Linked DNA regions of Macaca fascicularis. The protein of the gene in region 2 purifies or fractionates together with the protein of the main gene of each other region. This does not show direct contact. Links are inferred from orthologs where the notes say so. Each region holds a gene or a part of one and is shown on either strand. Other genes may lie near its edges. The genes, in order: RBMX, DDX5 and DHX9.

The links.
Region 1: the proteins of DDX5 (region 2) and RBMX fractionate together in Homo sapiens (co-fractionation; 3 studies listed by BioGRID and IntAct, with this or other methods). This does not show direct contact. The link is inferred for Macaca fascicularis from reciprocal best matches to the Homo sapiens genes DDX5 and RBMX.
Region 3: the proteins of DDX5 (region 2) and DHX9 fractionate together in Homo sapiens (co-fractionation; 3 studies listed by BioGRID and IntAct, with this or other methods). This does not show direct contact. The link is inferred for Macaca fascicularis from reciprocal best matches to the Homo sapiens genes DDX5 and DHX9.

What each region holds. Positions count from the first base shown.
Region 1 is NC_088395.1:143,026,771-143,029,468, forward strand, and holds part of RBMX (RNA-binding motif protein, X chromosome), read right to left. Parts: intron 1,287-2,698; coding exon 1,134-1,286; intron 233-1,133; coding exon 118-232; intron 30-117; coding exon 1-29.
Region 2 is NC_088390.1:71,093,669-71,096,195, forward strand, and holds part of DDX5 (probable ATP-dependent RNA helicase DDX5), read right to left. Parts: coding exon 2,493-2,527; intron 2,382-2,492; coding exon 2,316-2,381; intron 2,080-2,315; coding exon 1,938-2,079; intron 1,857-1,937; coding exon 1,696-1,856; intron 1,610-1,695; coding exon 1,437-1,609; intron 1,082-1,436; coding exon 971-1,081; intron 759-970; coding exon 697-758; intron 609-696; coding exon 549-608; intron 1-548. UniProt on the Homo sapiens protein: Involved in the alternative regulation of pre-mRNA splicing; its RNA helicase activity is necessary for increasing tau exon 10 inclusion and occurs in a RBM4-dependent manner. Binds to the tau pre-mRNA in the stem-loop region downstream of exon 10.
Region 3 is NC_088375.1:40,389,815-40,393,473, reverse strand, and holds part of DHX9 (ATP-dependent RNA helicase A), read right to left. Parts: intron 2,346-3,659; coding exon 2,299-2,345; intron 814-2,298; coding exon 677-813; intron 367-676; coding exon 277-366; intron 191-276; coding exon 29-190; intron 1-28. UniProt on the Homo sapiens protein: Multifunctional ATP-dependent nucleic acid helicase that unwinds DNA and RNA in a 3' to 5' direction and that plays important roles in many processes, such as DNA replication, transcriptional activation, post-transcriptional RNA regulation, mRNA translation and RNA-mediated gene silencing.

The DNA.
Region 1 (2,698 bases), on a different chromosome or scaffold from region 2:
GAGAACTTGGGTAATCTCTGCTTGAATAGCTACAAACACAAAAGTTTTGGTTCATGCTTTTGATAAGCTTTCCTTCAACCTTAATTATTAATTTAAAAAGCTGCAATTTTCTATTACCTGTCTTTAGTAGAATACCCATCATCTCTTGGGGACAAATAAACATCTCTACGAGAGGGCAGTGGCTCCCTTCGAGGTGGACCTCCGTAACTATCTCTTCCACGTGATACAGGAGCTTAAGGAAAATTACATCACTTTTTTTAAACACAGTCAGAGAAAGAAGTTAAAACGTGAACTTACATTCAGGCTATGAAAACGAGACTGACTTCAAAGATGACATTACGGAGGCTAGATCTCATTTTTTCTAGAATTTCCGATTCACATTTTAAATTTTTTTCAGTGCTAATTCCATTTATCTAAATCACCTACAACACATGACCAAAAGTTTTTTTTTTTTTTTTTTTGAGATGGAGTCTCGCTCTGTCACCCAGGCTGGAGTGCAGTCCTGTGATCTCGGCTCACTGCAACCTCCGCCTTCTGGGTTCGAGTGATTCTCCCGCCTCAGTCTCCAGAGTACCTGGGATTACAGGCACCCGCCACCGTGCCCGGCTAATTTTTGTATTTTTAGTAGAAACAGAGTTTCACCATGTTGGCCAGACTAGCGTCAAACTCCGGGCCTCGTGATCCGCCCACCTCAGCCTACCAAAGTGCCAACATTACAGGTGTGAGCCACCGCGCCCAGACTCCACGAATAAAGCTAGGGGGGTGTGTGCGTGCGCGTGCGTGTGTGTGTTTTGAGACGGAGTCTCTCTGTTGCCAGGCTGGAGTGCAGTGGCATCATCTCGGTTCCCTGCAACCTCCGCCTCCCAGGTTCCAGCAATTCTCCCGCCTCAGCCTCCCAAGTAGCGGGGATTACAGGCACCCACCCTATGCCCAGCTAATTTTTGTATTTTTTTAGTAGAGACAGGGTTTCACCACGTTGGCCAGGATAGTCCTAATCTCTTGCCTTGGCCTCCCAAAATGCTAGGATTACAGGCATGAGACACCACGCCCAGCCAATTAAACTTTTAAGCATCATTTACCTCTCAATTCTTTGTTACAGTAGTAGCACAGATTGTCATACATGGAACATTTACCTCTCCCTCCCATTCCACTGCTACTGCGAACTGGTCCTGAAGGTGCAGATCTCTTGGGAGGAGGACCCCCACTTCTTGGTGGTGGTCCTCTTTTTACTGGGAGTGGTCCCCTGGAAGAACTCATGTTAAAATTCATGGAATATCCACCGTCATCTACATCAAGAATAGAAAAGAAAAATATTACTACTCACAAGAATCAAGAAAGATATGAGAGTTTTTTTTTGATACGGAGTCTCGCTCTCTCGCCCAGGCTGGAGTGCAGTGGCGGGATCTCAGCTCACTGTAACCTCCGCCTCCTGGGTTCAAGCAATTCTCCTGCCTTAGCCTCCCGAGTAGCTGGGATTACAGGTGTGCGCCACCATGCCCAAGTAATTTGTATTTTTTTTTTTTTAGCAGATACAGGATTTCACCATGCTGGCCAGGCTGGTCTCGAACTTGACCTTGTGATCCTCCTGCCTCGGCCTCCCAAAGTGCTGGGATTGCAGGCGTGAACCACCAAACTCGGCCACTACAAAATTTCCTTTGCTTCATGAAGAATATGACCATTAGGCCGGGCACAATGGCTCAGGCCTGTAATCCCAGCACTTTGAGCAGCCGAGGCAGGCAGATCACCTGAGACCAGGAGTTCAAGACCAGCGTAACATGGTGAAATCCTGTCTCTACTAAAAATACAAAAATCCAGGTGTGGTGGTGCATGCCTGTAATCCCAGCTACTCGGGAGGCGGAGGCAGGACAATCACTTAAACCTGGGAGGCAGAGGCTGCTGTGAGCCAAGATCGTGCCACTGCACTCCAGCCTGCGCAACAAGAGCTAAACTCTGTCTCCCAAAAACAAACGAACGAACAAAAATGACCATTATTAATTTGGCTAGTCTAGTTTCACTTGTACTTGATGGAACATGCAGTGCAGTTATATAGACTGGGGAAGTAAGAACTGAAGGTAGTCTTAAACTTTTTTTTTTTTTGAGGAGTCTCACTCTGTTCCCCCAGGCTGGAGAGTACAGTGACACGATCTCGGCTCACTGCAACCTCCGCCTCCCGAGTTCAAGTGATTCTTCTGCCTCAGCCTCCTGAGTAGCTGGGATTATAAGCGCCCACCACCATGCCCAGCTAACTTTAAAAAATAAAAATGGGCTGGGCGCAGTGGCTCAAGCCTGTAATCCCAGCACTTTGGGAGGCTGAGGCTGAGGCGGGTGGATCACGAGGTCAGGAGATCGAGACTAACACGGTGGAACCCCGTTTCTACTAAAAAATACAAAAAACTGGCCGGGCAAGGTGGCGGGCGCCTGTGGTCCCAGCTACTCAGGAGGCTGAGGCAGGAGAATGGCGTAAACCCGGGAGGTGGAGCTTGCAGTAAGCTGAGATCCCGCCACTGCACTCCAGCCTAGGTGAAAGAGCAAGACTCCATCTCAAAAAAAATAAATAAATAAATAAAAGAAAAATGATTTCATTTTCATGTCCAACACCTTGGCTTATCAATTTTTAAATGCCTTTCCTACAGAGTAAACTACTTGGACAAGAAGTAACACTGTCCACGGTTTAACACTATAATCTCACATGCTTCCT
Region 2 (2,527 bases):
CAGTACTCACCAATTTGTAAAAGGCTTAGTACCTTTTAAAGCTGCTCTCTCCATTTCAAACTTGAACAAAAATTTCATTGAACATTGAAGTTTGGAAATATTTCTTCGACATTTCAGCAAACTCACTGAAACTCAAAGACCCACAGATCACAGTGAACAGTTTGAAACAAGGCTGTACCATGGCAGTCATGCAAAGCATGGGACAGAAGAAATACCACGGCAGTGAACTGTGAGGATAACTTCCATTTTTTCCCTCGGAGAGAACAGTTTACGGGGCAGAGGTGATATGTTCTGCCTTTTGAAGATTACTGGCACACGTTCAGCTTTTTCACCTCTCTAATCGACTGGAAGCAGCCAGCCGATCACTAGTCCTCCATCCCCCTCGAGTCCTCCGATTGTCATGCCTAGGCCTTGCCACAAAGACAGCACCTTTATGTGAAAAAAACTTAGAAAAAATGCAGAGGTTAAAGAAAGCAATAAACTTTCTTTAAAAAAGTTAAATGGAGATCTTCTGGGAAACCAAGCCATGAATGCGAGTTTGTACTAACCTAGCCCTCTGGAGGCCACATCTGTAGCAATCAGAATAGGAGCTTTTCCATGTTTGAATTCTACAAAGGAAGGCATATACATGATCAATTATCTGAGCAGAATTCTAGCTAAGTAAGGGGGGAAAAAAACTTCATTTGAAATATTTACCATTTAGAACCCAGTCACGCTCTTGTTGACTCTTGTCACCATGGATACCCATGGCAGGCCACCTAAAAGACAAGTTGTATCATAAAACTCACATTGAAAACCTCAGACTCCAGTGCTTAACCACGTCTTGTCACAGATCTCTTTAATTTCACCAGAAATTAAAAAGAATTAAATTCACTTATATTATCAGATATCCACTGCTCCTGATCCAAGTTTGCCCTTTCCTAAGCTCAGTTACAAAAAAATCTGCTTCAATGGAGGAGCCCACACATACCCATCTCTCCTCATTTTTCTGGTAAGCTCATCACATCTTCTTTTGGTTTCCACAAAAACAATGGTTTTATTCTCCTTCTCACTCATGATCTCTTCCATTAAACGAATAAGTCTAATAATGGGAGAGAGAAAGGAAAAATCCTGAGTTTTAAAAGACCATTGGTAGGGCCCCACATTTATGGTCAGCAAAACATTAAGTTCAATTTACATGGCTGGAAGTCAAAGAGGAAACACCTGCTAACCCACTTATGTAGTAGTTCGACCCTTGGTCCTTAAGTCAACCAGGGGACACATGAATTCCTTCTATAGGAAAACTATAAACGGTGATAATCATTATTTGAAGAATTCAAGATATTTTCAGAAGGATTAATAGGCTAACTAAACGAAATCACACCAACTGAAATAACAATGATCCCTCAATTTTAGCAAGGTTAGGAAGCGAATATAACAGAGTTAATAAAACTTACTTTTCATCCTTTTCTACGTCATGACACACATCCACAATCTGAAGAATGTTGTGGTTTGCACTCAGTTCAAGTGCACCAATGTTTATATGGATATAGTCTTTCAAGAAATCTTCAGCAAGCTGTCTTACTTCTTTTGGCCAAGTCGCACTCCACATTAGAGTTTGCCTATCAGGCTAATGGATTTTGGGGGGAAAAATTAGTGTCAGACTAAAAGTGAAAATAGAATTGAATTTGATCACATATTTCAAAGGACACTTACTCTTATTTGATCCACAATCTTCCTTATTTGGGGTTCAAAACCCATATCAAGCATTCTGTCTGCTTCATCAAGGACAAGATAGGTTGTTCTTCTCAGATTGGTTTTCCCACACTCTAAAAAGTCAATCAGTCTTCCAGGAGTTGCAATACAGATTTCCACACCTTTAATTAAACACGTAAGTGTAACTATAATACCTAAAATATTTAGCACCAATAACAAATAAAACTCTCTTCATTACAGACCTCTCTCCAAATCACGTATTTGTGGTCCCTTGGGAGCACCACCATAGATACAAGTAGACTTCAAGCGACATGCTCTACAATATTCAGCAGCTACTTGCTGCACCTGTTGGGCCAGTTCCCGAGTTGGTGCCAGCACCAAACACTAAGGAAAGAGAAACAGCTTTCAGCACAAACCTGGATACTAGTTTTAAACTATTAACTTATTAGTTATGATGGCAGATCCTTTCTTCATGTGTTGTCCAATACCCAAAGCAACTCCAGCTGAATAGGGTGAGCTAACCTCTGTATAAAACCACCACAAATAATTACATCTTTTGCTATGTAGTCTAAAAATCTATATATTACACTTCTAATAAAAAGTTAAAAATATATACTTACAATGGGCCCATCGCCTCTCTCTAGGAATGGCTGATGATTGATGTGGACAATGGCAGGAAGCAAATACTATTTGGGGTGAAGACGGGGACAAACAGAAATCACATTAAAATACTCTTGTTTTTAAATTAGCATTCCGTTTTCTTGCACATATTACATCAAGAGTTCTCTCAAACTTACAGACAATGTTTTCCCAGATCCAGTCTGTGCCACTC
Region 3 (3,659 bases), on a different chromosome or scaffold from region 2:
CTCATCTCAAAAACAATATTACACTCACAAAAGCCAGAGGCCCCTCATCAATGTTGCTACTAGTCCAAGGATTCCAGTTGGATTGTGGAGGTGACCAAGGAACCACACCCACTTGGTTTTGTCGCTGAGATGGTTCAAATTGAGCCAATTTGCCAATGTTGAGTGCAACTGGCACAGAAGGATCTTCAGGCTATTAAAAAATAAGAAAAAAAAAATATGACTTGCTTGTCTACTGAGTGTTTTACACAAATGTGAACTAAATAGCTTTATGCTTACCGGGGGCAAAATCTCAAGGTTTAGCTCTTGAATGATGTTTTGCAGTTGATGCTCTAAATCTTGAGAGAGGTTTACTTTGTAAGGCTCCACCTACGGAAAAAGGATCACACATAACAACACTACTCAAATCTACTACAATGGGGCTAAGACTATACAGTCAATACTAAGTCTACAATATTCCTAAACCAACAGTCAGTTCCCTTTAGTGCAAGAACTACTTCAATGGTTATTTACTCACTGCCTATTATGAACATTATGCCAGACACAGAGATGATTAGCAGGACCATTTTCATTCCCTGAGGTAAGATTCCTTGAAATTAAACTTCTTTAGCCAAATACTAAACAAGAGCTAAATTGAATCCTACACTATCTCACAAGTCTATTAAATCTAAAGACTCACTGTCTCTCCTTCCTTCTTCTTTGTAAGTCCAGAGTAAGCTTCAACCACTCCAAGATGGTAGAGTTGTCTGACAAGTGACAGGGCACAGGACTGTGCTGCCAGTTTCTTATTTGATCCATGTTCTCGTGCAAAAATCCCTGTAATGTAAGGTCAGGATTACCAGAAAGAAATCACCTAAGTGAAGAAACATCACAAGAAACTATGGGTTTACGTACACAAGAAGCTCTCAAATACAGTGTATGCCATGGGTTCTAGCTAAACAAAAGAAATTGCCCAACAGCTTAGCAACTAAATAACCAACTGTTTTGGTTACGGGCTGATACTAGGACTCATACAAATCAATATTATGAAAGCAAATAATCTATTTCAACAAAGTTGTCACTGTTAAGATCATCGGGCATTAAAAAAGGGGAAGAAAACATAGTTTGAAAAGACAAAGAGTAAAAAATAAACCAGTAAAAGTAATTGGGTCCAGAGTGGTTAACTAGACCAGGATTTGGGAAACTTTTTCCATAAAGGGTCAAATAATAAATATTTTAGGCTTTGCAGGCCATAGAGTCTCTTGTCACAACTACTCAACTCTGCCTTTAATGTGTGAAAGCACTTACTGACAATAGAGTTTGACAAACCACAGGCCTGGGAATGGCTTTACGGTTTTCAGGATTTGTAAAAATAAAACGAAAATAACAACGTGTGACCTGTGAAGTCTAAAATATGAGTGTAGCTATGTTACACAATAAAACAGTTCTTATAAAAACAGGCAGTAAGTTGGATTTGGCCAGAGGGATATAGTTTGCTGACTTCAGCATTAAACTAAAGCTAAGTTACTCATATCCTTAAAGAAAATATTAATAGAAAGTTTCCTCTCCTCCAGTATCATTCAGCTTTAGGAGAGATGAATATAAAGCAAAGGGGTACAAAGATATCTTTCTGCCTAACTAGCCAAATTAACCTTGATAAGTGAGCTGACATAAGTTAGCCCGCCTTTATCCTCTCTCCCTTAGTATTACCCATCCACTCAAAATAACTCATTTTATATATAAAAATGAAAAAATGTTTTAAGGCCAGGCGCAGTGGCTCACCCCTGTAATCCCAGCACTTTGGGAGGCTGAGGCGGGCGGATCACAAGGTCAGGAGATCGAGACCATCTGGCTAACATGACGAAACCCTGTCCCTACTAAAAAATACAAAATAATTAGCTGGGCGTGGTGACTGGCGCCTGTAGTACCAGCTACTGGGGAGGCTGAGGCAGGAGAATGGGGTGAACCCGGGAGGCGGAGCTTGCAGTGAACCGAGATCACGCCACTGCACTCTAGCCTGGGCGACAGAGCAAGACTCCATTTCAAAAAAAAAAAAAAGTTTAAAATTCTTTGACGCTGGCAGATTCCTAATCATCTCACTGTGTCTTACTTTTGAAATACTACACTAACACGGTCTGTTTTCACATGCAAACTGGGAGACTTTGCCTCTACTTTATAATTACTAATATTCTAATATATACCCTAGATGCTATCTTATATCACGTGCTCTTTCAATAATACAGCTTCTGTATTTCAAGACTTAAATGTGAAGATTCCTTCTCTATACAAAGACTTGGAATATTGGGTAACAGTAACACTTACTTCTGCCCAGCTGCTTGATATAAATGGTCATTTCTGCAATAAAGCTCCTGTAACAACATATACAAGCAAGGTTAGAAATTTCACTGTTAGAAACTGGCAAATCCAGGTCTCCCAAGTCAGGCAGGCTTTCCAACTGCTTAGGCAAATCACAGAAAAAAAAAAAAATTACCAACATTTATTTCTGCCCAACCCTAGAACAAATGAAGTATATAAACTTCATATAATATACAACATGGCATAACACAACTATAATCAAAGTTGATGAGCCAATTGTTCATGAAAGGAAAACGTTAGGGTATTAGATTTTATATTTACTTACTCTTATTCCAAAGGCTGGAGTCTCAAGAGCTACAACACATTCCATGAAAAGGAATTTTCCACTTAGCTTGGAGCCAAGAAATAAAGCAGGCCCCAAATGTTTTACATTACAGTTATAATTATTGTAAGATTCCTTTGCATAGGCCACTCAGTAATGACTGCGATCTATTAAGCTAATATACGCAAACACACATGCACATACACTTTGTGCATAATCAATGGCTCCTGAGGCAGAGTTCTCACATCTGCCTGCAGTTGGAAGCAGCCCTGGATGACAAAAAACTTAGCCTATTTTTATCACATTTATTTAAATCAGGTCCTGGAGAATAAAACACATGTTGTAACATTACATCTAAAACTGCTAGCAGAGTCTAAAAAATGAATTTAGGTTTTAGTAAGGGAAAAACTGCCCTTTGAAAACTATGCATTCTGGTCCCTTCACTGCTCAGATACATTCTAACCTAGACTTGGTGGTGTGAATAAAAGGCTGGGTGAGGCTTAAGAAAAAAATAAATGTTAAGACTCCTTCCTATACCTCGTGTGAACTGACCTTCAGGCACAGCGGCTTCAGGGGTCAAAGGCCACTGGCTTTCAGGGGAACAACATCCACCCTTTCATTAATGACATCGATGCCAGTATGTTTCTCAGCCAGGCTTAAAGTCAGCACTCAATCTCATTCTCCTCCACCTAGGGGGAACAGCGACACCAGAAATCAGTTTACAATAGTTTCCCATGTGATTGCTTAGTTCAGCCTAAGCAGCAGCACATGTGTGTATGAACACAGACCTCTGGTGTTGCTGTCTGTTATGCCTTTAAATAAAAGGACATACAAAGAGCAATGCTGTCCTGGCTCCCCCAATTTCTGTGCCTCCCACATTGTCTTTTCCTGAATTCGTCACTGCTTTGTATCAGAAATCTATGGTAAGATACTGATAACAAAAAATGTCTGCAACGATGAGCTTCAGGCACACTTAGGTATCTTATTGTTCTTAAAGTCACCAAGTGCTACCAAGCCCAATCCGTTCAGAAAGACAAAATATGAA